Rattus norvegicus: one gene and its partners. The protein of the gene in region 2 purifies or fractionates together with the protein of the main gene of each other region. This does not show direct contact. Links are inferred from orthologs where the notes say so. Each region holds a gene or a part of one and is shown on either strand. Other genes may lie near its edges.

Region 1 (4,146 bases), on a different chromosome or scaffold from region 2:
ACGCGCAGTTTGGCGAAAGGAAATAGCGCTTTAAAATACAAAAATCCGTAGTTCTGATATGATTTCCTTTATTGCTCAGACGGTAGCTGAAAACTGCACGAAGCAGCGCCCGTGTCTCTGGAAGGCAGCCGCCGCCGAAGCAGTAAAGCCCTGCTAGTGGGAACCCGGGGCTCAGCAGGAAAAGTTCCTAAGCCTGGGGTCCCGCTCTTTAGAAAGCACACGGGCATCCTTACCCGACACGAGACAAAAATCAATGTATCTCACATGCGGTGACTGACAAGTCTCATCAGATCAGAAAGGAGGCTCAGCTTCTGGGCTCAGTAGTGGGCTACAGGGTGTACAGCTTGCTTAGCAATTAACATGGCTAAGGCTCGCGGGGTCGGGGCGGGGAGGGGGGGGTACGATCCTTAAGAAAATTCGAAAGGTTTTGCTTTCTGCTTTCGCTTGGTCGGATGCAGGGCAACCAGGCAGGGTGCAAAGCCTTAGTCAGGCTTTCATTTCACAACTTACTGCTCGGTTGAAACGATCTCCCCGCCTCCCCTCAAACACACACACACACACACACACACACACACACACACACACACCTAACCTTTGAAGTCTCAAAGCCATCAAGCATGTGTGCATTTATTCTCTCTCAGGTGAAAATAAAGACACCGGGCTCAATGAAAAGCCAACAGGAAAAACAGTTTCGCTGGCGCACTTTACACTGTTACAACGAAGTGAAAGGAGCCGTGGGAGCAGAGAAAGAAGCAGGCTGACTGACCCAGGAGGCCGACGGCCCTGTATTTAGATTGATCCCTGCGACCTGAGTTCTGAGAGAAAAGATGCCGCTAGAGAGTGTGTGAGTGCAAGACACGAGTACGGAGTGGCTGGAGCTCTGGAAAGACGCCCGCGAGGACGGCGTCTCGCCGGGCGTTACGTTGGATTCTCCACAACGAGAATGCAGGGGAGCTGCGACTGTAGCCGGCGCCGCTGAGCCAGGACGCGCCCGGTGGTGCCGCATGCAGTGCCTCCAGCCCTAAATTCCAATGTGCAAGGGATTGGGAGGGGGGTACGCTTGGGGACTTCACTGGGGAAAACATATACCCACATCCTATCTTTTGCCTCTGATCCGAAACAAAACAATTAAAGAGAGTTCGAGATTCCTCAAGTCCAAGTGTGAGAGGCATGGGCGGTCTGGCCGGTCCCCTCTCGAAGCAGCTCTGATATCCGAGGGAGAAAGTACACTGCAGGCTGCTCGCCGGGTCCCCTTCAACGCTGGGCGGAAGCATTTGAACAAACCCAGCACAGACGCCTGCTGGTCCGTGCTAAGCAACGCTTCCCACCCTACGCTGTCCCTGAGTGTCACCCAAGCCTTCGCTGAAAGCGTGGGGGATGGGAGTCCCGTTCCCCGTAGCCTCAAACCCCACTGCCCTAGTCCCGCGTGACCGAGGCTGCTCCGCTCCGGGCAGGCAGAGGGCGCCGGGGAGGACCAATGACCCGGGACCCCTGCTGCACCCAGAAAGAAAGTGGCAGACTGAACTGCGCCCCCTCCGCGGCCCCGAGTTCCGACAGCCCGCCCCCTGGGGGTCACTCGGCGCCCTGCCAGCCCGGGCTTCTCGGGTCGGAGCGCGCCCTCCCGGCCTTATGGTGCTGCGTTCTCGGCTGGCCGCGCGCCCTCCGCCCCCAGGCCGGAGAACGCCAGCGAGGCCTCCGCTCTCCCCACCTGCCCAGTGACTCTGCGAAGCCGAGAGCTCGGCGCTGCCGGAGCTCCCCCAACCCATCCCCAGGACCGCGCCCCCCCACACCTCTGCCTCCCCTTCCCCAGGGCTCCCGGCGCGCCGCACACGCCGCCGCACACAAGGACCGAGCGCACAGCGCCCACTACCGCAGCCGCGGCTCGGCGCAGCGCCGATCGCCCGCGCAACTTGCAAGCGGCCGCCTCGCAACTTTTCCCAACTCCATCGCGGCCCGCTGCCGCCACAGCCACCACGGCTCCCTCTGAGCCCGCCACCCATCCCAAACCCCAGAAACAAACAGAGCTTCGGAAAGGCGCCCTTCCCCTGCCCGCCCCCCTCCCCCCTCCTCCAGCTCCGGGGACTAGCTGGTTGGCCAGAGGCGACTCTCCCCCGCCTGGGGGGGAAGGGAGGGGAGGGGGACACACTCTCCTCTCCCCCCACCCCTTCGCGCTCACTCGCGCGCGCTCTCCTCCCTCCCACTCAGCTTTTTGCTGCCCCCACCCCCACCCCGGAGTTGCCACAGCTGGTCCTGGTGCGGGGCTCAGGGCTACCGCGGCTCCACTGCGCCCAGAGCAGGAGCCAGGGAGCGGAGGCAGAAATCGGCAGGTTGCTCGGGCTGCAGGCTGCGCTGCGCCTGCCTTCCACCCGGGGCCCCCCGCGCCAAAGCAGCCCGCGCTCTCTCCCCGAGTGCTAGACACAGATATGCAAGATGGCAGAGAAGGGGGGGGGAAGCCAATAGAAAAGGGATATTGCACCTACTTGTGGCCAGTTTCCTTGCCCTGCCTTTGGATCTCATGCTGTGCCCAGTTCTGCAGCCGCTGCTGGGTGGTTAGGTTTTTTTTTTTTTCTTGGATCTTTTCCTTCTTTTGGTCTCTCTCTCCCCCTCCCTCCTCCTCTCTCTCTCTCTCTCTCTCTCTCTCTCTCTCTCTCTCGTCTCACACACGCACACACACACTCGGTCTTTCACTCTCTCTCTCCCTCCCTCTCTCTCTTTCTCTCAATCCACACTCGCTATCTCTAGCATTGTCAGTTTGGACACCTTCGCACATGCGCGTTAGACGCCCCTCCAACATCTCAGCGCCGCCAAAAAAAGTTTGGAGCGATTTATCACTTTGATTTGGAGATCTTGTCAGATGGCAATCGCCGAGGAGGCGGAGAAAGGGAGCTACGGGGAGGGCGGCAGGGGGCGGGGAGCGAGCGTGGGGAGCTGGAGGGGAGCAGACACTTCACCCAAACGGGGGGGGGGGAGAAAAAGAAAAGAAATGCAAAGTCTTGGACAGAGAATTGATTCGTGGGGCAGAGGACTGTGCCTGTGTGGGAGTCAACAATAAGCCTGCACTGTAATTATTATTAATGTTTTCTCCACCATAAATTACATTGTCTATAGGGGAAACGAGCGGAGGAGGAAAAAAAATACTTTAGGTTAAATCTTTCCGTCTTCAAAAGAACTAGATTGAGGGCTGGACCGTGAACGCATTATCAGAAGGCGAGAAGCATCTTGAACTTGAGAGATCTGCTGTTGCTGCCCGCGCTCTCCTCCTGAAGTTCCTGGGGCTTCCGCTTTGGATGAATAACCGGTTCTCGATTTTAGCTATAATACTAACGGTAGCTGCTATCCTTGGAACATTTCAGTAGTCTGTTTCCATCAAGTAGCAACAATCGCCCTTGATGCTCGGGTCCCGCCGTGCTGGGTGTTTGACATCCAAGACCTCCTGCCTTGCCTAAGGTCGGCCGTCACCTTCCGGCCTCCTGCTGCTACTCAGTCTGCCTGCCATTTCCACTCACTTACTGAAACCTACAACCTTTGGGGTCACCAGAAGGAGGAAGGGGGGAAATTCCATACGCATACCTAGAAAATACAAAAAGAACATTGTTGAAATGTGCCTAATTACTGAATTTACTAATGAAGTGTGCAGGCAGAGAGGAGGACGCAAGGGGTTAGGTGTGTTCGAGGTATGAATCACTCCCAACTCAGTATGGATTTTTCTCTTAGTACAACCTTCTTTCATTAAACAGTTGTGTTCAATACCTTCCACGTGCTATTTATGTCTCCATTAATATCTGCTGCAAATCCTGCCAGACGCCATAAAAGAAAATTGCAATCTTTTCCGTGCGGTGCTGCTACCATCCTCATACTCAAGTCAGAAAGAACAGGGGGGGAAGCTGGTCCTGGCGTCTTCTCTGAGAGAGAATGGAGGACAGGCGGGTTGTTGGGACTCAGTTGCACCTGTTGGTATTCATTTTGTCTGAGCTCAGACTGCGGTTGTGAGAGAGCTAATATCTAGGTTCAATTCCCAGGGGACTTCGGTGGCCAAGAAAACCAACGCTTACAAGACCTACCTCAACTAAGGATACCCACCACCTTCCCCTCCCCAGAGCTGTGTAATTCCAGGGGCATTCAGACATAAAATACAGGTCCCTAGAG
Region 2 (4,280 bases):
GATTGGTCCCAAGCTTCACTCCAAACAAGGCATAGTTCACATTTCTAGATGAAGTATTAAAACCATGAGCATTGCAATTAGAACCAAATGTGGCTCCATCTGCTAAATTACACTTAAATAGAGAAAAAAAACAAACAAAAAACCCCCCAAAAGCAAAAAACCTCGGTTTAAGGTCAGAAAGTATACTAGTGTGTACATAATTAGCTTCAGATCATTTGATGAAGCATTGATCTTTAATAAGAGATTAGCCAAAATTCAGAAATGTGTTTCTGGGAATTAGGATGAGCAGTCAATCAATAGTCGTAGTCTACTAAGAACTCTGATTTCTCTTCTGAGGATTAGGGATAGCTCACATGCCCCTATCCAAAAGTTCACAGAGCAGTGGCACAGAGATCTAACAGGTCCAGTACTGCAGACAGTAATGAAGACAGACATGTAGAGAATTATTTCTGTAGTCTAGCATGCTATCACATGTCACATGTTAATTAGCTTAAGACACCAATTTAAGTGTTCTTTTCCATTTTTTGTTAACTTTCTTTAATGCAAATATTTGGAATGAAAATACGTCCATCCTAAAAACAAGCAAGAACCAGACAGATTTTCACAGATAACCCAGCAGATTTCCACCATTAGTTGTACAGTTGGTTACTTACATCTAGGTAAAGCTGTTGCATGGGCGTAAGTTAAAAATCACATGACTGAAAAATACCTCCATCCACCCGTCTATCCCATCCCTCAGTAAAGGCTCATCCCCACACAGGAACCCGGGAAGAAGGCGCTGCTCAAGACACACTAGAGTACTGTCTGGTTCTCCATCAGACCCGGTCAAGGTTACATGGGATTTAAGAGTTCATAGCTGAGGAAAGAAGCTGACAGCAGAAGAGACTGAGCTGTTCCCCAACAGTTCATTATTTCCCTGACTCTACCCTCTAGCAGAGCAAACCTTTACTTTGGAAAGGCTGTAATTGTAATTTTTCAAGTTAATTCATACAGTGCATCCTTTCCAATGGATCAGAGAATGCAGGTCAGGGGTCTGCCATGAATCCCACTTCATAATGGTTAAGTCATGTCTAAGTTGTCATGCTTTCCCATCTCTGCTCTCCACGATAGTGTAACTTTTCAATGTAGTCCTCTCAAACTGCCAATTAAGCCAGTGGCACTCGCCTTTAATCCCAGGATTTGGGAGGCGGGGGCAGGTTGATCTCGGAGTTAGAGTCAGCCTAGTCTACATAGGACAGTTTCAGGACAGCCAGGTCAACTTATCGAGAGCCTATCTCAGAAAACAAAACAGCCATTTAAAAGCTGTTTCTATTTTGACCTAGCTTTCTGTCAGGTTTTTGATTTTCCAGCCAATGACAGGTGACTATTTCATTTAAAGCCTGTATTAAAAAAGATTCGACCAAACCAAGAAAACAAACGGTTATTTGCAGCTAAAGTCGGTTTCATTCGGCCTGCTTTTCTACACTGTAATCTACCTCTCCAAGACTTCAATGCACCAACTACAGAAAACGCTCCCAATTTCGTATTGCTTTGTAGAGATGAAGCGTTTCGAGTCCGTGAGGCTAGCTAGTTCTGTCCAATTTCCTTATTACTTCTCTCAATAGTTATCAATTAATGTTCTGGGTGAAATCTGTAAGGCAGGGCACTACTCCATCTAGTGTAATTGGACCCAGAGACTATGACTGCTTATATTCCAAATTAGGGAACACGTACAGTCACCTTGTACCGTCCACTGCACTCTGAGCTCAGCCCTACCTGTATGGAATATGTAGTCTACTTCTCAAAGTTTGCTGCAGCAGGGTCCCCACCACACTTGGACAGACTTCCTAACCAAGATGCCCATGCTCCTTCCTAAGCCCCAGAGCAGAGTATAACTGCGGATCGAACAAAGACCAACAAAGAAGTGGGTGGTAATAACCTCCCATAGAGACATGCCAAGACCCACCAAACAAGAGCAACTCCACGCTCCCTCTCTCCCATCACTTCCCCACAGGCCTACCTACTTCCAATTCAAAACCCTTTAATTGTCACGGAGGAAGTGCAGCCCTTCCATCCGAACCCTGAGAAAGTGGAGCTTGAAGAAACCCGACGAACAAAGGCGAGGGATGGAGTCCACGCAAAACACCAGCGAGACAGCGCCGCTCTGCGAACTTGGCCCCCGGCCAGCAGTAACTCCTCCGCAGCTCCACCCGGGCGCCGGGGTCCCGGGTGAGGCTGGAAGCGCAGCGCCGACAGATCGGGGGCGAGAAGGGGGGACCGGGCGAGCGGGGGAGGGGACAGGGACGCAGGGCGGAGCTCCAGGACGCCGGCTTTGTGCAGTCAGGCCCGGGGAGCCGACAGGGGTTCCTCCGAGACCGGTCCCAGGCAGTGCACCCCAAACATACGCGTGCCCGAGCGGAGGACCGGAGAGGAGCGAAGGCGGGCGTCCCCGAGTAGGCGGGCGAGCGCTGGGTAGGCCGTGTCGGTGTCCCCGCGGGCTGCCACCCTCGATACCCCGCCGCGTCCGACCCGCAGCCCCGCTGCAGGCTCCCCGGCCACTTACCGTCATAATAGTAGCACACTTTCTTCTTGCCGCCTCCTTGACTGTACGCCATGGGCTCCGGCCGCCGCCTCCTGGCTGCGGCTCCTCCTCCGGCTGCTCTCGCCCGCCGCGGCCCGGCGGCCAGACAAGAGGGCTGAGGGAGACGGCGGGCGCGGCGGCCCTCGCAGCAAGGACAGCCCGGAGCGGGACGGCGAGCGGGTGCCGGGAGGGCCCGAGATCGCAGAGCGGGGTTGGCAGCGGCGCCGACGCGCGACACTCGGCAGGGGTAGGCCTCCGGGCGGCGGGGCTGCGAGTTGGGAGGAACCACTGCGGCCGCGCGGAGGGGGAAACACAGCTACGGGCCGGAGGAGAGACCGGGCCGGAGTGGATGCCACCGGTCGAGGCTGCAGCAGTGCTCCGTATGTCTTATCACACACACAGTCCGGAGGTGCGCACAAGCCGACCTTGGCCCTGTGCTCAGAGTCCCGAACGCTCTGCCACCACGTCCCCCTCTCGGTCTGGCACGCACTGGTTGCACCGGGGCCGAGCCTGCGCACTCCGCGCCTGCTCAAACGGATCCCGGGCAGTCTAGACCCCTCCGCCAGGGCTCACGCCTCTCCCCTCCCCCACCGCCGCGACGCGCCTGCCCGAGCCCGCCACGTGCCGCGGGGACTCCGAGGGGAACCCGCTGGAGAGCTCCCCAGGGCTGCCCCCGGGCTGCCTGGTGGTCGGATATTCCCACGCGTTCTAATTCTCCTGTTCTCTCCTCCCTTCTGATAACTACTCTTGAGTTACAGAGAGGTTAATGGCTGAAGGTATCTCCTGGGTTTAATAAGCATTTCTTGGACTCAAGCATAAGCGCGGTTCCCAGCACCCAAACCTGTTTATAATAAACGCCATTTAAAGGTGTCAAAGGTGCCGGGATGCACGCGCCGTGCGCATCTCCTTATGGGTGCGGGTAAATGAAGGAGCCCTCAAGTGTGAGTCATCTGAGGACCGAACGGGTGTCAAACTTTTCCAGACTCCACGTGCTTTGTCTACTGTATCAGACTGTCAGACAATCCAAAAGGATGGATTTAAACATTGGAGTCCCTGTGTTTTAATAGCTTGACGTTTATTGAGCACCAGTCTAAACCAACCTTCTTAAACGTTACGCAAAGAAAGGATGGGAGCTGGCTGTCAAATCCAACACTCACATATCTTAACCGTTATTATTTACAATTCCGGCTACATGCGCACACCGCTTCCTTCCGTAAGAGGAGGGGTTGAAGTAAGAACCATACTGAGTCATTAACAAAAATAATTATTTTCTACCTTGTGACCCCCAGGACTCTCCATACTTAAAACACCAATCTTCTAGACATTACTCCAAGAGACTTAAAAATCACTCCAAGATACCCCTCACCACATCCACTTCTCTCCCAAGCCTGTACTTTTAACAAGACCCTGGGAGATTAACACGGTAGGTTCAGGGACTACAGTGTTCTCCCATGTCTGTTTCCCGTGCTTTTTAATACCAAGTGTCCTTTTAGTTCAGCATTTAACATGTTAACTGTTGGCCGTAACTCCTCAACTGGTCTCTCAGTAGGACACTTTCACAAGAGGATAAGTCGATTTTTTTTTCCCTGAACATAATCTAGTCTAGTGCCTGTGACTTCCAGCAAGCCATTTGAATTTTTTTTTTTGTTTAAGTGCTTTTCACCAATAAAATGAGAGGCTTTCTTATATGACTATTAAAACCTTCTTGGGGCTGGGGATT
Region 3 (4,219 bases), on a different chromosome or scaffold from region 2:
GCAAGGCTCTGCTCTAGCATTGGCTGCTTCATCTCCAGTGCGGCTGTGGGTGCGCTCTCTAACTTCTCTGTGAGGTGGGACTGACACCCCAACCACACTCGAGACTCCAAGCTTCCTACGTGAATTCGCTACATATCCTAGGGCCAGCAGATGTCTGACCTACCCGCCGAGGTCCAGGGACCGTCCACAGACTCTCGTGGGACTATCCGGGAGCTTCCTGGGTGTGCGCTGCCTGGACCTGTGTCCTAGGGACACAGGCCTGGGGCCCGCAGGCGCAGTAACGCAACACGTGGCCAGCCTCGACAGTTCAACGCTTTCCTAAGTTGATTCGCACAAATCTCAAACTGCAAATATGGGGCTGGGGATTTAGCTCAGTGGTAGAGCGCTTACCTAGGAAGCGCAAGGCCCTGGGTTCGGTCCCCAGCTCCGAAAAAAAGAACCAAAAAAAAAAAAAAAAAAAAAAAACTGCAAATATAATAAGGACCACAGATCCAGTTGTCTTTTTTTTTTTAACATTTTTCATTTTCAAATCTATCATTAAGACAAAAAAGTAAACAAAAGTTAGGTCTGTTGCAAATTTTATGATTTTTTTTTCTCTTCTGAGGGGGAAAAACCGTAATAGTAAAAAGAACGCCACTGGGTGTACAGTAAAGCACCACAACACGCGTTACAAACGGGGCTTCCTGCTGCTGCTGCTGCTGCTGCTGACACAGGGGCACGGTCTCTCCACTGCTCTGTGTTAATCAGGACTTCATTAAAGTAAAACTATAAAATCTCCTAGGTTAACTAAGTCAGACACGGTCTGGAACGCAGTGCTTAGCAAGGACAATGCCAGCTATCAGTGCTAACAGAAAACATTGTAGAAGGCCAAAAACAATCAAACCGGAAACCAAAACCTTATTTCCCCTAGATGAGCAGAACTGAAAAGGAAAGGAGCCCCCACCTCCCCATAAGAGCCGAGGGGATTTTTTTCTTTTTTTTTCTTTCTTTCCAGTTGGAGGTGGGGGCCACGACATGTGCTGGCTCTAGGGAACGCTGGCCTAGTTGGCATCCAGTTTGGCCATTTCCTGCACGTAGATGCCTATGCTCTCACTGTCAAAAAGCACAAAGTACACAGTTTTGATGGAGGACGACATAGTGGACACAAAGTAGCTGGAGATGGCCTTCAGAATGAGTTGGGCGGCTGTCTGCTTCGGGAACCCGTTCCTGTAGGAGAGAACACAGGGGGTCAGCACTCAAGGTGTCTACAGCGAGCAGGGTCCTCACCCTGGGCAGGAGATGCTCCCACAGGTGTGAAGAAAGCCCTCACAGGGTAAGCTGTATTAGAGAGCTGTCACACACCGTTGGCACTTGGGTGTGAGCTCTACAACATGACCTCCCTCGTCTCACAGCAGTTACCCCAGGTGTCCTCCTAGCCCCCGTGTCTTGAGGCAGACTGCCTTTGATGCAAGGGGAAAGGAGAGTGGATGGCCAGCAAGGTTACCGTTAGTCCATGGTATAAAAATGTCTGTTGTGGGGACAGGAAGCCAAGCTCATCCCTGGACACTGCTCGGAGCTCTGGGAGCTCTAGGCAGACATGGCTTTGGTGGGGCTCCCCCAGCAGGTCACTGCTAACTGGTTTGATATCTATGAGCGGCTTGCTCTCTCCATTAGGCGTCTAGAATTGGTTTCTGCTGGGATGTTTTAAGTGTAACATGACCTGGTGTGAAGTTTGCAGTCTCTCTGCTGCTTACTGTCTTCACGTCCACTTGCTGCGTGTTAAACAAGCTCAACTCGTTCAAAACCATAAGCACTGCTGTGGTAGAACAGACAGAGCCATCCAGCGCTCACAAGACGAGGGACAGGCAATATAACCAGGCATCTGTGAGCAGGAAGAAGAGGTGGGACCCAGAGAGCATTCTAGACAGTGGCAGCAAGAACCAAGGACACTGAATGCCGAGCGTGGAGCGGTCAAGGTGCGCAAGCTCCTGCTGCTTTTCCCCATGGTCCCCGGAACCGGCAGTCCATGAAAGCTCCACTGCTGAGGCGCCTATCAGTGTCAGTCCACCATGGCCATGGGGTCTGAGTAGCTCTGCCCTCGAGTTGTATAGAGCACTCTATACAAGTGCTCTATACAAGTGGCAGTAAGGGCTGTTGGTCCAGGGACCATCTCCAAACTGCACCAGCTAGTGTTAGAGCAGAGGGCAGGCAGGGCAGCCACCGTGGTGCAGAGCAGAATTCTGGGGCAAGTGTCGATAACCTTGACTTCAGGTCATCACGGAAGTCTCCAAGTCAGCATCCTGCCACTGATGTCACAGGGGGCTCCGAGTGTGAACTCAGGACCTGGAAGCCTGAGCCAGTCCCTGGCCAATACAGCATGTGCTCTTACAGAGTGGTCTGGCCCAGTGGAAGGAAACTCTGCTTGGAGCAGCCTTCAGGGCTACGCCTTGCTCACTGCAGTCTACAGTCCCTAGCCCACCTGCCTGCCACTCTGGCTGGTCCTCTCTGAGTTGATGATGTGATCACAGCACACGCAGCCTTCTACACTGTGCCTGTGACCCTGACTCCCCACCCCGCCCCCGGGAGCCGCACTCTCCCCAGCTGTTAGTGCTCAGGGCTCTTCACAAGGCCACAGGAAAAGCTCTTGCGACCTGCTTTCGCCTGGGAGACCTGGGCCATTGTGGGGTGTGATACATGCTCAGGGCCTCTCCCCATGGAGCTCGGCTCGGAGTTCCAGACAGTCTGGTTTCTTCCCGGAACAAGCCTGATGGTCTAGCTAAGCTGGGGGTCAGTGTGACAGAAGTCAGGGCTGCAGGGAGGCACCAGGCAGCTGGCACAGTGGCCGCAATCCTCTCAGGCAGAGAGGGGAGCACAGGAACGGGCCAGGTGGGAACTGCTGATCTGTTGTAGAGAGAGCGCGTTCCACCCTCTGTGTGTATCCTGCTGGAGCCTGCATCCAGGCCCAGGGAGCAGAGAGGGTGGCCGGGGCAGGCAGACCTCAGTCCGTGGGCACAACCTGGGCTGGCAGGCTCTGAGGAGAGTGTGCAGGGAGCTGTTCTCTGCATGGGTAGGTTTGACCCATATTCCACCAGTGCCATGCTACTGAAGGCCGGCCTGCCTGCCTGCCTGCCTGCCTGCCTCACTTCACGCCCCTTCAGATGAGCAGAGCCGGGGAGGCCCCCCAGACGAACGGTCACAGCTGCGTGCTGCTCCTGTGCGCTCAGCCAGCTGGTGCGCTTGGACTCTGCCGGGCACCGGCCAAGTGTGTGATGTGATGAAGATACATGGTGTTGCCCTGGCCTCTCTCCCGACTGCAAGGTCAGTCTCCTAAGAGCATCACAGGAGCAGGTTACGCCTAGCCGGTTCAGCTGTGGCTGAGGGAAGGCTCCTCCCTGGTCCTGGGTTCTAACTCTGAACCTGTGGCTGGTGCTGACATCACAGAGAGTTTGCCTTGCACACCCGGCTGGGCTCTGCACCTGGAGCTTTTGCCCCTCAGGCCTTCGGCCACTCTGACTGGGAGCCGTGGCCTACATGCAGGCAGCGGGTCAGGACTCCACAGTCTGGACTCTCAGAATGCAGAAGCTGGGGAAAGGGAGGCTGAGAGGTTTATTCTGGTAGGGTACCGCCCACCTCACATACCATACTCTAATCTGGCCTGCTGCTGGGCCAATGGGAGCCTGGATTGGTCCTAGGGAGCCCCGCTCTAAAGTAGCAGACCATGGGGAGAAGCAGAAGCAAGACGGGCATCTCCCTGTGCTGCTGGGCAGGGTCCCAGGCGCCCCCTAGCTGCCCTAGCTAGACACACAGGTGATGAAGTAGATTCATGGCTCCCCTAAGGTGAGAGCCTCTGTAGCTACACAGTGCCTTGGCTGCCCCATCATAGATGACCTGATGCCCTCCGCTTCTGGGTTGTGCCCTGCCCTAGCCCGGTCAGGTCAGAGTGGTGGGACAAGATGATATGTATTAATTAGGTAGAGTGTGGGGTCCAGGCCTGCTAGAGACAACTGGACTCCAGGATCATCCGAAGGTGGGAGACTATCCCCCAGAGCCTCAGAGAGCTACGACTGAGTGACCGTTGGCATTTAGTTACTGTGAGCACTTTAAGCAACGCCCGCCTCAGCTTGCCAGAGCCTGCAGACCAGTGTATGGTGCCCAACTGTGCTGGAGGGCTGCAGACCTGGACGCTGGCACAAACACAGGCTTCGAAGCACGGGCACTACTTTGGTTCCCATCTGAATGC
Region 4 (3,074 bases), on a different chromosome or scaffold from region 2:
TCCCTGGCCTCCTTTCTCCAACGCTAGAAATACTGAGACCTAGCTCTCACAGTTTGCTTTTCTCTCAGTAAACAAGATCATCAAAGTAATTCTGGGACTCTGCCATGGAAGCTTTCCGTGGTCTTATCCCAGTGCTCCCATTTCTGATGGTGAGCGCTGTCCTGACTAGCTTCTTTGCTGCCCTGGCCTTGCTTTGCTACCTTTCTCCCTTTGACTTCCTTTCCAGGGTCAAAAGAGGCTGATGCTTTCTGAAAGCTGTTCCAGAGACTCTCTGAGCAGCCAGCCTAGTTGTACTGGTCTCAACTATTCATATGGTGTCAATGCTTGGAAATGCTGGGTACAGTCAAAATATGCCAATGGAGAGACCAGCAAAGGTGATGAGCTACGCTTTGGCCGTAAGTACATGGGAGGGAAAGAGAAGGGTCTATAGCTAGGATCAGCTGAAGATACCTGGAGTGGTAAGGGTATGATCACCTATGGCTTCCCCATCCAGTAAAGACAGCTAACAGTCCAAGGCTGAGGACACCTTGTAATTGTTTTTCAGGAGCTAGTTATGAGTGAAGGGCTGTTGGTAGAGCTAAGTGAAATTCTCCAAATGACGTTTTCTTAACCCTGCCCTCTACCACATGTCACTACAGCCAAACCCATGCGTATCAAGGAGGATATTCTCGCCTGTTCAGCTGCTGAGCTCAACTATGGTCTGGCCCAGTTTGTGAGAGAAATTACTCGACCCAATGGTGAACGATATGAACCTGACAGTATCTACTACCTGTGTCTTGGTATTCAGCAGGTAACTCTCGCACACCACTGGGTTTTCTCTCACCTCCCACACAGTATACAGAATTCTACTGGAACTGTTTCTAACCCATCCCTCCTTGTCACTTGTCTCTGACCCTGAATAGGCAGCTTGCTTAAATTTCCTATGACAAATAGACATCAATGACCTCCTAAAATCAGAGCTTCTTCATTCAAGGACTCTTGTTCAAGCCTCAGTGTTGACTGCTATTTGGATCCTCCAGGTCACCTTGAATTGTGTTTTGAGGAAGGATGTGGGGGCTGAGTTCCTTGAGCAGTTAGGTAGTGTTTAGTTCTGCCTAGGAGAGCTTAGCAGGTATGACTTGATATGGGTGTCTGAGCTTATGAGGACCATCTCCAAGCCTCTGCCTCTTTCAGCAAAGCCTCCGTACATCAGCAATGCAGGAACACATAACACTCCGGGTTATCTACTCAAGCAATTGACTCCCATCCCCTTTTAATTATCAAGGACCGCGACTGCAGCTTCATCATATGCTCTTTCCTCTAGGTCCTGGAGTCTAGGACCTGTAGCCTACTTTATGTATGTCTGTTTTTCTTTCTTTAGTATTTGCTGGAAAATAACCGAATGGTGAACATTTTCACGGACCTTTACTACTTGACTTTCGTTCAAGAACTCAACAAGTCTCTGAGTACCTGGCAGCCCACACTCCTCCCCAACAGTAAGGGACAGAACTTAGCAATCCCTTCCCCTCTTTCCTTCTTCCAACATACCACTGCAAGAGTCCTGTACTGGCCGGCCTGTTACTCTTCACTAAGGGTTCAAGGGTAGGAGTATGTCCTGGATGCCTCAGGGTTTCCGGCTAATGGAGCCAGAATCTGTGCCCTTGAGCATGAGAAAGAGAACCACATGTGGTGATGCATACCTAGAATCCCAGCACCAGGGGGGGCTGAGGCAGAATTGTGAGTTCTGGGCCAGCCTGGACTATATACTAAGATACTGTCTTTTTTGTTTGTTTGTTTGTTTTGTTTTGTTTTTTTTAAGAAAAGAACATGAGTTGAACTTGGTGGTATGTGCATTTAATCCCAGCACTTGAGAGGCAGAGGCAGGTGGGATCTCTTGAGTTTTGAGGCTAGCCTAGTCTACATAGTGGTTCAAGACCAGTCAGGAATACATAGGGAAGCCCTATTTTGTTTTTCTTTTTTGTTTTTTTTAATAGGAACACTTAAAAAAAGGAAGATGAAAGGGTCAAGGCTTCAGTCTCATCCAGGAGCAATAATTTGTGGCTATAGTTCAGGCTACTCAGGAGACTAAGACAAGATGTCAAGTTCAAGGCTAGCCTGAGCTACATAGAGGAAAACTTTTCTTAAAAAGAAAAAGAGAAAAAAGACTCAGATCTTTAGATTTATCTCTGGGACCAGAAATAGTCCAAGTTTCGGTGATACGTTGATAAAAAAGAAAGCAAGATGTAGGAATTCTAAGCTTAGTGTCTACCTGCATATAACTTAGAGGTGGTCAGAAAAGTGTTGCATGCAGGTGAAGAGTATATTAAAATGCTCAGTTCCGGGACAGACAAGTCACACAGAAAAACCCTGTGTCAACTCTCCCAGCCCCTAATTTCCCAGTCCTACTGTGTAGGTCAGGTGCCAGGATTTATATGCAGTAAGAAGCCCAGTTAAGTGTATGCATGTTAGGAACTCAGGTGGCTTTGGGAAGCCGACCCCCGTTGTTTTTTCTTTTTGTCCATCACAGATACTGTATTCTCCCGTGTGGAGGAAGAACACCTCTGGGAGTGCAAGCAACTGGGGGTTTATTCTCCCTTTGTCCTTCTCAACACCCTCATGTTCTTCAACACTAAGTTTTTTGGACTGCAGACAGCTGAGGAACACATGCAGCTCTCTTTCACTAATGTGGTGCGACAGTCTCGCAAGTGTACCACGCCTCGGGGCACCACAAAGGTGGTGAGCATCCGCTACTATGCCCCAGTCCGACAGAGGAAAGGGCGAGGTATGAGGCTATCCCCTTCCTTGACTTTTTGTACTTTATGTTCTTTTTCATGGCATCCCCACCATACCTCTGCTTTGTCATTAGCTTCCCTCTGTGTTTGCAGAAAAGATGAAAAACAGGCCTTCTGATACACAGTGGCTGGCTGTCTCATAATACGAGGGCAACTAACTGCCTGTTTCTCACCTTCCTCATTTCTAGACAATTTATTTGCTTGCCTTCTTTTGAGAGAATGGGGGTGAGCAGGTAGTAAGCCATTAGTTGTGTCTGACCAACAGGGAGAGTTGAGAGTGAATCAAAACCTTTTTATGATTCA
Region 5 (3,500 bases), on a different chromosome or scaffold from region 2:
TGGGCTCAAAATGCAGTACTGCAATGAAAAAAAGAAAATGTTTTTAAACCAAAATATGAATTGTGATTTTTTTTTTTAAGCTCAAAGCTCCCACTATATCACTACTATTATCTAATTATTCCCTTTTATCGGCTTGGTATTTGGGAAGCGCTGGGGTTTAACCATACCTCTCTCTTCCTCGTGTTTTTTGGCGGATGAACTTTTAGGTCTTCCTCTTCCTCGTCTGATATGATCTGAATGGCTGTTACTTCGAGATCTCTTTCTGTTTTCTAAATCTTTATTTACTGTAGAATTTATCTTCTCTCGCCTGACTCTCTCTGTTCGCCTCCTCTTGGCCTCATGCTTGTTTTCTGTATGGATAAATAAAAGTGATTTATTTCAGGGCATCACAACAACGATTTGCCAAGTACCTTCCTTTCCCTTCCTGGCATATTTTCTAAGTCTGTAAACGCTAGCTCCAGTGCCCCCATGCTCACATAGAGCAACCAATAGAAATCAGACGTATGAAGTTAGGGAAGGTCTTCTAAGAGATAGCAAATGTCTTCACCTGGCAGCTTTAATTCCAGGCCCTGCTCCACAACAACCTTTCTGTTTTTTCCATCACGTTTCCAAGTTTAACACAGACACACATAAGGGGGTGGGGTGGATCCATTGCTTTCTGCCCTTACCTCAATTACAGAGTGAATAAGTAGGTTAGAAGTAAAACTGGCCTGAGGCGTAGCAAAGGTTACAATAAAACCAACCACAGAGCACACATACAACATACTCTTAAGACACAGAAAGTAAGGAATTCCCACCTAACCCACGGAGAAGGGTGATCCTTGATATAACAGAATCTTGTTCCATGAATGGAGTGGACAATCCAGGAACTCACTAATATAGAGACTTTATTACTGCAAGAGGCCCCCTATGCCCAACAAATCAAAATGTTAAATTAAAATAATGTTTTTACTTCAGCATACATCTAACTTCAAGAAACAGAAAATTAACTTCCAAAATAACTAAAACCACAATGATAACGGGAAAGATGGAGACTTAAGGACCAGTGTGAGTGGGGACTTGCACAGTGGCACCTGCCCTCAGGAAGGAAAGGCAGATGGAGCTCTGTGAGTTTAGACCGCCCTGGTCTACACTCAGAACAGATAGCACTACATAAAGAAACCCTGTCTCAAAGAACGGGGCAGGCATAAATCACTATTAACTTCCTCTACATGTCATTGTAGAAAGTTTATTCTGGGCCTAAGACTCAAGGATACTGGATTACACAAGAATATTCAATTATTCCAGACCACAAAAAGTCACCAAATATAATTGAGGACTTATTGAAAGATGTAGGATTTAATTTGAAGCAGGTTCTAATGACCATAATAGGACAATCTAAATACCATTAAGAGTACAACTGTAGCAAAATAAAACATATCAAATATCCTAAAACCTCCAGTATATCACATTAAAAGCTCAAACTACTTGTACTGTATGTAACTATGTAAGTCACTGTGTGTAAGCATCTGGTGCTTTTCTATGTCCTCCCCAGCTCCTGAAGAGTGGCATGAAGAGGATTTATTTGTCACAAGGTCTATGGCCTTGTCTTACAGTTGCTCCCATTTAGCTTGTAACTCAGTTATCCTGCTTATACTAATCTACATTCTGCCACACGGCTGGTTACCTCTCCTCAGATTCATACACCCGACCTCCTCTGCATCTGGGGGGCAAATCTCCCGCACCCGACTGTTTCCCAGAATCCCACCTGCTCCTTCCTGCCTTTGCTAATAGGCCACATCAGTGGGTGTTTCAGTTATTAGACCTACTAAATAAGCACTAGAACCAGAGTGTCTTCGAACTTCACAACTGCCAACATTGATAAACGACAGACAGACAGAGTACCAATTATAGTCAGGTAAAAGTAAAACTAAAGAATTCAGTCTTGTGGACTTTGGTTGTTTATCTTTAGTACAAGCTCCTGATCTTGCTGTCTTCATAACACCTAGCTTAGAAGTGGACCACGGGCCCGTTCTCCTTCTAAAGGCCCCCACTCACCACTCACACCTCTCCACAGCCAGTGCTCTCATAGGTCTGCAGCTGAGCTCAACGCACTCAACCTTCTCTGTAAGTTTAGCCTTTTTAGGGAAAACAGGCTTAGTTTGGCCACTGTCACCACACGGTCTCCTGCCATACCCTACTTCCCTGCCCGACCCCCCTGCCCTCCCAGAGTCCTTGTCCCTGCTGCACTGTGTCACTTTGTAGGGCTGGTGTGCCACATTTCCTGCAGAAGCCTGGCCAGTCTGAAGAATGGAGAGGGGTCACCAGGTTTGCAGAAACAATGACAGAGCCCAAGGCCAGTCACATCGTTTTTAAAGCCAACTTTCAACTTAGAAACACAGATCACAGGAGAGAAGGGGATGGGCAAGGAGGTTTATGGGGAAGAAACTGGGAAGGGGGGTATTATTTGAAATGTAAATAAATAAAATAACTAATAAAAATAAATAAATAAAAATCAGATCGTTCAGGGAATATGTTAGCCTATGTCCCTAGGGTCCAAGCACAATATAAAGGCTTTCTGGTAATTATTCCAGCAACAGAAAGCAGAGTAGGAGGGCGGGGAAACAGAACAGAAACATGAGCTGACACGGTGCTCTGTATGAAAACGGCCCCTACAGACTTATAGGGAGAGGCATTATTGGAAAATAAGTGTGCCCTGCTGTGCCCAGCCCTGAACTTTCCAGCCCAGGAGTTGGGTTGCACTTTGCCCAGAGTCTCTTCCCTATATTTTGGACTCTCTCTCTCTCCCTCCCTCTCCCTCTCTCTCTCTCTCTCTCTCTCTCTCTCTCTCTCTCTCTCTCTCTCAATTTCACTACCACTTCCTCCTCTTCTTGTCCTTCTCTATTTTCTCTCTGTATGCCTGCCCGTTCTTTCTCTCTCCCTATTCCCCCTCCCCCTTTGGCGACTCTTCTGTCGTCCTCCATTCTTAGGGGCCACTATACTTGTCCAGGACCAGCTTCCCAATAAACCTGATTAATATATTCTAAAAAAAAAAAAAAAAAAGAAAATAAGTGTGGCCTTGGTGGAGGAAGAGTGCCACTGGGGGTGGGCTTTAAGGTGTCAGAAGCTCTCTTCCTGCTGCTTGCTGATCAAGAATGTAGAATTCTCAGCTCTGCAGTACCATGGCTGCCTGGCAGGATGATAATGGATTAAACCTCTGAACTATAAGTGTTTTTCTTATTAAGAATTGCAGTTGTCATGGTGTCTCTTCACAGCAACTGAAACCCTAAGACAGCTGTTGAACATTCAATACTAAAAAGTTATCATTAATGTTCTATAGCAGTATGGTGTGTTAAAGGTTTTTCTTTTAGGGATTTGATGTCAGTAAAGCACTTGTCACATAAGCACTTGTAACTCACATTTGATCCTCAGCAGCATATAAAATATGGGCATGGTGACATCTGCTTATAATCCCAGCACTGGGAAAGCGGCCACAGGCTGATCCTTAAGGCTTGCTAACC
Region 6 (4,284 bases), about 38 Mb from region 2:
GGCTCACAGCCATCTGTAATGGGATCTACTGCCCTCTGCTGGTGAATCTGAAGACAGTGTACTCATATATAATAAGTAAATCTTAAAAACAAACAGCTACAGTGTACTCACATAAAACAAACCTTAGAAAAGAAAACAAAACAAGCCAATTAAAGAGAGAACATCGGGCCAGCAAGATGGCTCAGCGGGTAGGCGTGCTTGCTGTGCAAACCTAAACCTGAGTCTGACTCCCTGGATACCATGAAAAGGCAGAGACCAGGCTCCGCAAACATGTCCTCTTCTGTGCCCCTCCCCCGTTCCACAAGCACACTTAAAATAAGTGTTCTTTCAAGACAGGGTTTTCCTGTGTAGCCTTGACTGTCCAAGAAACCAGGCTGGCCTTCAACTGCCGGCCTCTGCCTCTCAAGTAATGGCACTAAAGTCGTGTGCCACCAACACCCAGCAATAGATAAAACTCTAGAAGTCTGTAATCAGTCTTAAACTACCGATACGGACATCCACTAGTCATCTACAACGTCTCTGTAAGGAAGAGACGCCTAAGTCACACGCAAATGTTGATAGCTTAGCTGGCCTCTGCCTCTTGGCTGCTCTCATAATTTTATGAGGGGTCTGAGCCTCACACACGGCCTTCTGTACCAGAGGAATACAGTCCCACCATGATGAGGTAATCCCTTTCCCAGAAGCACAGCAATGAGAGCAGTTGGAGAGGTGGCTCAGTGGTTAAGAGCAAGGGGGAGACCCAGGTTGGGTTCCCAGCACTGACTCACAACTCCTTCAAACTCAAGCTCCAGGGGATCCACCACCCTCTTGCCTTGAAGGGCACCCCAGACACACACGGTGGTTCTCAGACATACATGCAGATTAACCACCCACAAGCATAAAGCATATGTTTTTTAAAAAAAAAAAAAAAAAAGGAAAAAAATTAAATGCAGAGGCTGGCTCAAGACGAAATCCTTGGTATTATAGCAAGTTCAGTCAGCCCGAGCTACATGAGACCGTCTCAAAAACAAAAATAAAATAAATAAAAGGCAGGTGTGTGGCACCTGCAACCCCAGGAAGTGGGGGACAGAGCAAGGTGGACCTCTGTGAGCTAACCCAACCTAGTCTACAGAGCCAGCCACCTAGGGCTACACAGCGAGATCTTATTACTTACACACACACACACACCCTCCCCCCAAACAAAATAAGCCCCTCAAAACAAACAACAGCAAAGCAAACAAGACCCAGCCCAAGCCACACTTAAGGTGAGTCAGGAGCTTTTAAAACTTTGCATAATTTTGACTCTGGGGTTCTTGTCACCCCCCAAGGAAGAGTTCCCAGTAAGAACTTTATCTGGTTTGAAAATGGTCTCAAAGTAGGGATTTAAAAACAAAACAAAACAAACAAACAAACAAAAACCCTTCCCTAGGCGCTTGCTCAAAGGCAAAACAAAAACAAAACAAAACAAAACACACACACACACACACACACACACACACACACACACACACACACACAAACCGGGAAGGCTGATCAGCCCGGTCATTTGTATAAGTGTAATTATAGGACAATAACTACATAATTAACTCTACATCTGTCAGTCTCCGCTGCTGACCACCCCTCCCCCAAGAACACAAACTCCAGGAAGCCGACAATTACTCCGCTCACAGAAGCCCAGCCCAGAGGCTGACACTTGGTAGCCTATTGGTAAATTCGAAAAAAAAAAAAAAAAATCTGAATACAAGAGGTCCGGAGGCTAAATCCCGGAAGAAAAAAAAACCACCAAAAAAACCCAAAACCACCAACAAAAACAAAACAAATTCCCAGCCAGACTCCCCCAGTTTTTCCACCCGACTTCCACACTCTCACCTGTCCGTTGCTAGGCTTGGACATGGTTTTCCGAGCTCGGTGTACTTTGGGCTGCCCCTCCTGGCCGGCAGTTGTTGCCGGAGGGGGCTCAGGCCCAGCAGTTGCAGCTCCCTGGGCCCCAGGCATGCTCAACAGCCTCATGGCCAAACTCTGGACCGAGGGGGGCGACTTTCCTGCCCCTGTCATTGACATTTTGGCCCGACTGGGACAGGCACCCCCCTTGCTGGGGGAAGAGGGGAATGACTTTGTGGCATGGCCTAGAAAAGAGGCAGGCAGACGGGGGTGGGGGGGTGCAGGGTAAGCAGAAATGCAGAAAGCCCCCTTTACACCCCCTCTCCCTCGCTCCCCAGCCTCTCACCCAGCAGGATTCGACCCCCATCTCCCTCCAGGTTCTCGGGTTCCTCCCCGATGAGCGGTGTGGCCCCGACAGGGGTGTCAGCCCCCTCATCGCCGACGGTGACAGTGACAGAGGCCGGAGAGGAGGGGCCGGTAGGCTCCAAGGAGTCGGGGTTGGCCTTGGGAAGGGTCTCCTCACTATGAGAGGTGTCCCCCAAAGAGCCATGAACTGTCGGGGAGGGGAAAAGAAAAAGTTCAGGGCTCCAGGCTGCCCGGATCCCGTGTTGGGGGTGGGGAGGGTGGAGGTCCGGTCGGGCCTGCCCGGGCCGCACTCACCTCTCTCGGCGGCTCCTCGGGGCTCCTTCTCCAGCAGCAGCGCCCCCATCTCAGCGGGGGCCTCCCCCTGGGAGGGGAGACAAGGGACCGGAGGGCCGGTCAGCCCGGCAGGCAGCTGGGGGGCCCAAGACGCCTGGGCCCTGGGCAGCGAGAGCAGGCTTCGGGGCCTACCTCGTCCACGGTGGGCGCCCCCGCGACCCCGGCCGCGGCCGCCCGTGGGGGCCGCACGCCCCCGCCCCCGGGCCCGCATCAGCCCCCTCCCTCTCGGCAGACCCCGCATCTCTGGGGCCGGGAGCAGAGGAGGGGGAGGGGGCGGGGCCTCGGCGCCCCGGCCCCGCCCCCTCCTCCCGGCTGCACGCGCCGCTCCCCCTTTGTCCCCCAGGCCGCGGGGACCCCGGCCACCAACCCCTGCAACGCCCGCTGCGCCCCAGCCCGGCGGACGGCCCCTCGCGCCCCTCGCGCGTGCTCCCGGGGTCGCGGTGCCCACCGCCCACGCAGGGGCAGCGGGCGGCGGCACGTGCGACTCGGCGCCCACTCCCCCCACCTCCCACCCCCTGGTCCCCTCATCCGCCCCCGGTGTTGGCCCCCTGGTTTGCTGCAAGTTCGGCTCGGGCCCCCCGGCCCCGTTGCACCCCCGGAGCATTGCACGAGCGCGCGCTTCCCCCGGGCGCGCGCGCGGGCATGCACCCGCCTCTCCCCCTCCCCTTCCGCACCTCGGCGGCCGCCGCCGCAGCAGCTCCCGCCGCCGCCGCCATCGCCGCTTGCGCGGGGGGCCGAGCCGGCGCGCGGCCGCCCCGGGTCACGTGGACAGGGAGGGAGGGCGAGAAGACGCCTTAAAGGAGCCGCTGCGGGCCTTTTGGACATTTTTGCCCCCCAAAATGGCCCTGGAGGTCCAGAACTGGGGTTGTAGGGGAGAGGGCGTTCGTTCCTAGCCTCGGCTCCGCCGGGAGACAAGGGTGAGGCCCGACTGGGCTGTGGCTTCCCTGTCCCCGCCCGGTTTGGGTAACACGTGTAGCCTGAGCCTCTGCAGCTGCCGCGTGTGTCTTTCTGGTTCTGAGCCGCCAGATTGAAGGCTGGCTCTTAGTTTTAGACTCTAGTGCACAAGAAGGGGCGACAGAGACTCTCGGAAGACACCTTTACTTCTGGGTCAGTGTGCTTTTGAAAATCTGGGAGGGGAAATGTCTTCTGTTGCACTAGAGATGACAACTGAACGCAGCGGAGGCCTCGAGGGCGACTACAGTCTATTGACAGTAACTATTTCTGCCCAAATACCATCGGGGGCTCATGGTCCAGCTGACAGCTAAGCGTGAATGGTGGACACGGCAAGTATACAAGCCCTGAACACTATCGAGGGCACCATCCCTGTCCAGGCATTAAGTCCTGAGCAAAGTTGGAAAATGCCTGCATTGGTTTTACACACAGTATTAGACAAGCAGGTAGTTATGTTACTGGGCCCGAGGCCAATTCGGCGTCTTCTGGGAACTGTAGTTCTCTTTGGATTTAAAAAACTTTTCAGAGCTTTCTGGGAAATGTAGTCTTCTAGGTAATGGACTGTAAGTTGAGCTGGTATTTCGACTTTCCTTAAAATTCGAACTGATGCCTGCTTGCCATCTCTGTGGGTTCATTGGCCACCTGTGGTCCATGGCTTGCACTGCTACCAAACCCCACAAGGTCTACTCCAGCACTGGGGCTGCCAATCACTCGTGTGATAAAGTTTCTGCCAAGGTGTTTAGGGCGTGTTCCTAGTCTCTGCTTGAGAGCTGG
Region 7 (3,500 bases), on a different chromosome or scaffold from region 2:
CAAGGGATTATTACTAAGAGCATCTAAAAACCTGCGATAATCACTGGCCATTTGGGCAGTGTGGGTGGGCCAGGCAGGGTGGGGCAGGGCAGCAGCAAGAATGGTTCAGCCGCCTTGGGCAACTGGGAGTGTCTGATGCTGTACATATTACTAAATGAATTAGCAGTCCCCTCTCTGTATTGACACCTAGATGAGTTGAAAACTTCATGTTCAATCTGAACCTGCATGAAAATATTCAGAGCAGATTCAGTCAGCTTTTATTGTTGTGCCAGTACTTAAATCCATAGACTGGTGACAATCCAGACAATAGGCTGTCACTTAGTATTAAAGACAGTAAAAACAGCAAATCGCAAAAGACATGGGGAATAGCTTTACATATTTAATGCTAAGTGAAAAGTATTCAAGAAGACTGTGTGCATCCAAGGCTCTTTCTCACAGCCTGACACTGGAAAAGTGAAAGTGCTCTAACATTGAGTGACTGCAGAGGCTAGGTAGGAAGGCGGGAAGGAGGTAGAGGACGTAGAGAAGTGTGGTACTGGGAAGGAGTCGTACATGAGCCCAGTAGTCTCAGGCTGTGGGTAACAGTGGTGGATGGAGCAATGCAGGCTTAGCACATTCTAGCCTAGACAGGGACAGGGAGCTGGGCCTGTGTGTGCAGCAAATACACGGGAAGTCCATACTCAGGAACTCAGTACTACTCTACAGAGTCAAGATACAAGGTCTCCAAATGTTTGTCGGGCTTTAGTCTTGATTGTTTCTGTTGAACTGCCTGACTCCTTGGTCAAAGATCATATTTATCAGTGCTTACGTTTGTGGGCTCCTTGAATAATGTGTTTGCCTTCTCTATCTAAACACTACAGTATCAGATTTTCTTTGCTATCCCTGTCCCTCTCTCTCCCTTCTTTGAGACAGGGTCTCACTGTGTAGCCCTGGCTGGCCTGGAATTCACTATGTGACCAGGTTGACTTCAAACGCCTCTGCCTCCTGAATGCTGAGATTAAAGCCATGTGTCTCATACCTTATTCACACTGTTGGTTGCAAGGCGTTAAAGTAACAAAGTTCCTTTGCTTTTCAATAGAGCCCCATGTTTGCTATCCTAAGGCTTTGTGTTCCATATAGAATCAGTTAATCAGGTGTCCTGAGTAACCTGGGATTTTATTTGGGATCACACAGAATCATTAGTCTTCTTATCCATGAACGTGGACTATCTCTCCACTTCTTTAATTCATTAAGTGTTTTATAGTTTTACTCATATCTAGTTGAAGGCACTGATGTATTTTCAGTAAATTTCACGTCATTATTTGTACATAGGGAAGTTAAAGGTTTTTCTGAATTTCTGGTTTGTTTTTTTTCTGTGTTTATATATACATAGATACTTATTTACCCAGACAGACCTCAAACTTAGTGATCTTCCTACCCCAGCCTTCACAGTGCTCTGATTATAGGTGCGAACTACTCTGCTTGGCTATAGTAGGTTAATCTTCATGGTTTACTCCTCAACCCTGAAACTGTGCTAAAACTGCTTGTTGGTATTTTACCTGTTTTGATATTGGTGATTGAACCTGGCAAAGCCTCACATGTCACTCATCCCAGCCGTCTGCATTTTGAGACTGGGTATCCATCAGTAAGTTGCCTGCACTGGTCCTGAGCTTCCTCCGAAGCCAGGCTGGCCTTGAGTGAACGGACACTCCTGTTTGTTGAGCCGCTGCCTGACTGGACTCCAGCCACTTCTGTTCTGTTGATTCTCTGGGTTTTTTGACAGCTTCTGCCACTTCTGATGGTTCTTTCCTTCCTTTCTGTTCTGTGTGCCTTTTTTTTTTATCTCTGCGTTTCTTGTTCCTTTTTCACTACTGTGTTGGAAACTTCTGCTGTATATACAGTGTGAATAGACAACACACGTTTAGAGATGTCTGGGTTGTGTCCTAAACATCAGTTTTACATAAGCAGTTGTATCCCACACTTACATACGCTATTTTAGGCACTAGAGATTCATATCAGTGGCTAAGACAGAAAAGTCGTGTGGCTCCAGGAAGCCTGTATTCTCTACAGGCACTATATGCTTATAGTTAATGATGGTTATTGAAAGTTATGCTGCATTTCCTGGTGTCAAAAGCTTCTCCCTCTATTAGTGACATTAGATCACAGCTTACTCTGGAATCAGGAGAGAGACTCTACAATGTCTGTATTGGGGCACTCACGAATTGGAAGAATGTGTACACTGAAGATAAGGAAGTCTGTATGGTCTCTTCTGACTGTAGCCGGCTGTCTGACTTTCCAGTCAGTTGTTACGCCTGTTGCAGCTAAGAACCAAACATGGGGCAGAGAGGCCCTGCCTCGGGTAGCGGCGTCCTCTGCAGAGCTGGAGGCTGCTGGGCCAGGATTCACGGAGTCCTTAGATCATCTGCTGAAGCTGTTGTTCCTCCTCAGCTACCTGCCCATCATTAGGGGAATTAGAAGCACAACCATTCATGGACCTGTCCTTGGATGCTGGCTAATCCAGACAGCTGTCAGTCACAATGAGTGTTTAATCACAATTGTTTGAGGATTTTTTTTAGTAAACAGAATATTGTTTGGATGTGCATTTTATTTTGTTTTTAGCAACTTGTGCTTTTGAAATCTGCTCATTCTGTAGTGACAAGTCACTGATAGACATACTTAGAATTTGTAATTGTGCAAGGAAAGTCCTGTGAATTTAAGCTTCCTTGTTGATGGTCTTGCTAAATAAAAATGGAGTGGGGAGCATCAGTTTGCAGTGTCCACCTTCCTTTCCCAGGTGAGATCGAGAACTGTTGCTGAATGTGTAGCCTTCTACTACATGTGGAAGAAGTCAGAACGCTACGATTACTTTGCTCAACAGACAAAATTTGGAAAGAAACGCTATAACCATCATCCTGGCGTTACGTAAGTATGGTGGGCTTGATTGAGTGACTGCATTGTTTAACTCTGATGCACAGTTATGATTATTGATGTGTATTCCTCAGGGACTATATGGATCGTCTTGTAGATGAAACAGAGTCTCTGGGTGATACGGTCAGTTCTTCAGCCTTAACTTCTAACCGGCCTGAGCCCATTCCTGATCAGCCGCTGAACATTCTCAGCTCCTTCACTGCCAGTGACTTGACAGGTAAGATGAGACTGCCTGCACAGCCTCTGTTACACATCAAGCGACCACTCACCTAATCTACTTTCATTTCTCTTTTAGCTTTGACCAACAGTGTAGCAACTGTCTGCAACCCCACAGATGTGAGTTGTCTGGATGATAGCTTTTCTCCACTGGGGAACGCGCCCCGTGGACAAGTCAATCATGTGCCTGTCGTAACGGAAGAGTTACTCACCCTGCCCAGCAATGGTGAAAGTGATTGTTTTAACTTATTTGAGACTGGATTTTATCACTCAGAGTTAAACCCCATGTGCAGCGAAGAATCGGAAAGACCAGCAAAGAGATTGAAAATGGGCATTGCTGTCCCGGAATCCTTTATGAATGAGGTTTCTGTTAATAA

The links.
Region 1: the proteins of Hdac2 (region 2) and Mecom purify together in Homo sapiens (affinity purification with mass spectrometry; 3 studies listed by BioGRID and IntAct, with this or other methods). This does not show direct contact. The link is inferred for Rattus norvegicus from reciprocal best matches to the Homo sapiens genes HDAC2 and MECOM.
Region 3: the proteins of Hdac2 (region 2) and Macroh2a1 purify together in Homo sapiens (affinity purification with western blotting; 3 studies listed by BioGRID, with this or other methods). This does not show direct contact. The link is inferred for Rattus norvegicus from reciprocal best matches to the Homo sapiens genes HDAC2 and MACROH2A1.
Region 4: the proteins of Hdac2 (region 2) and Zmym3 purify together in Homo sapiens (affinity purification with mass spectrometry; 6 studies listed by BioGRID and IntAct, with this or other methods). This does not show direct contact. The link is inferred for Rattus norvegicus from reciprocal best matches to the Homo sapiens genes HDAC2 and ZMYM3.
Region 5: the proteins of Hdac2 (region 2) and C19h16orf87 purify together in Homo sapiens (co-immunoprecipitation; 4 studies listed by BioGRID and IntAct, with this or other methods). This does not show direct contact. The link is inferred for Rattus norvegicus from reciprocal best matches to the Homo sapiens genes HDAC2 and C16orf87.
Region 6: the proteins of Hdac2 (region 2) and Ehmt2 purify together in Homo sapiens (co-immunoprecipitation; 4 studies listed by BioGRID and IntAct, with this or other methods). This does not show direct contact. The link is inferred for Rattus norvegicus from reciprocal best matches to the Homo sapiens genes HDAC2 and EHMT2.
Region 7: the proteins of Hdac2 (region 2) and Mier3 purify together in Homo sapiens (affinity purification with mass spectrometry; 3 studies listed by BioGRID and IntAct, with this or other methods). This does not show direct contact. The link is inferred for Rattus norvegicus from reciprocal best matches to the Homo sapiens genes HDAC2 and MIER3.

Annotation. Positions count from the first base shown.
Region 1 is NC_086020.1:114,836,547-114,840,692, reverse strand, and holds the start of Mecom (histone-lysine N-methyltransferase MECOM), read right to left. Parts: upstream 2,801-4,146; 5' UTR 2,518-2,800; coding exon 2,481-2,517; intron 1-2,480.
Region 2 is NC_086038.1:42,101,647-42,105,926, reverse strand, and holds the start of Hdac2 (histone deacetylase 2), read right to left. Parts: upstream 2,801-4,280; 5' UTR 2,595-2,800; coding exon 2,543-2,594; intron 1-2,542. UniProt on the Homo sapiens protein: Histone deacetylase that catalyzes the deacetylation of lysine residues on the N-terminal part of the core histones (H2A, H2B, H3 and H4).
Region 3 is NC_086035.1:8,543,550-8,547,768, reverse strand, and holds the end of Macroh2a1 (core histone macro-H2A.1), read right to left. Parts: intron 1,207-4,219; coding exon 1,041-1,206; 3' UTR 501-1,040; downstream 1-500. UniProt on the Homo sapiens protein: Variant histone H2A which replaces conventional H2A in a subset of nucleosomes where it represses transcription. Nucleosomes wrap and compact DNA into chromatin, limiting DNA accessibility to the cellular machineries which require DNA as a template.
Region 4 is NC_086039.1:70,571,148-70,574,221, reverse strand, and holds part of Zmym3 (zinc finger MYM-type protein 3), read left to right. Parts: intron 1-226; coding exon 227-395; intron 396-638; coding exon 639-790; intron 791-1,360; coding exon 1,361-1,475; intron 1,476-2,506; coding exon 2,507-2,761; intron 2,762-3,074. UniProt on the Homo sapiens protein: Plays a role in the regulation of cell morphology and cytoskeletal organization.
Region 5 is NC_086037.1:37,817,187-37,820,686, reverse strand, and holds part of C19h16orf87 (UPF0547 protein C16orf87 homolog), read right to left. Parts: intron 351-3,500; coding exon 168-350; intron 1-167.
Region 6 is NC_086038.1:3,937,911-3,942,194, forward strand, and holds the start of Ehmt2 (histone-lysine N-methyltransferase EHMT2), read right to left. Parts: upstream 2,801-4,284; coding exon 2,521-2,800; intron 2,414-2,520; coding exon 2,207-2,413; intron 2,106-2,206; coding exon 1,849-2,105; intron 1-1,848. UniProt on the Homo sapiens protein: Histone methyltransferase that specifically mono- and dimethylates 'Lys-9' of histone H3 (H3K9me1 and H3K9me2, respectively) in euchromatin.
Region 7 is NC_086020.1:45,042,662-45,046,161, forward strand, and holds part of Mier3 (mesoderm induction early response protein 3), read left to right. Parts: intron 1-2,773; coding exon 2,774-2,901; intron 2,902-2,981; coding exon 2,982-3,124; intron 3,125-3,202; coding exon 3,203-3,500.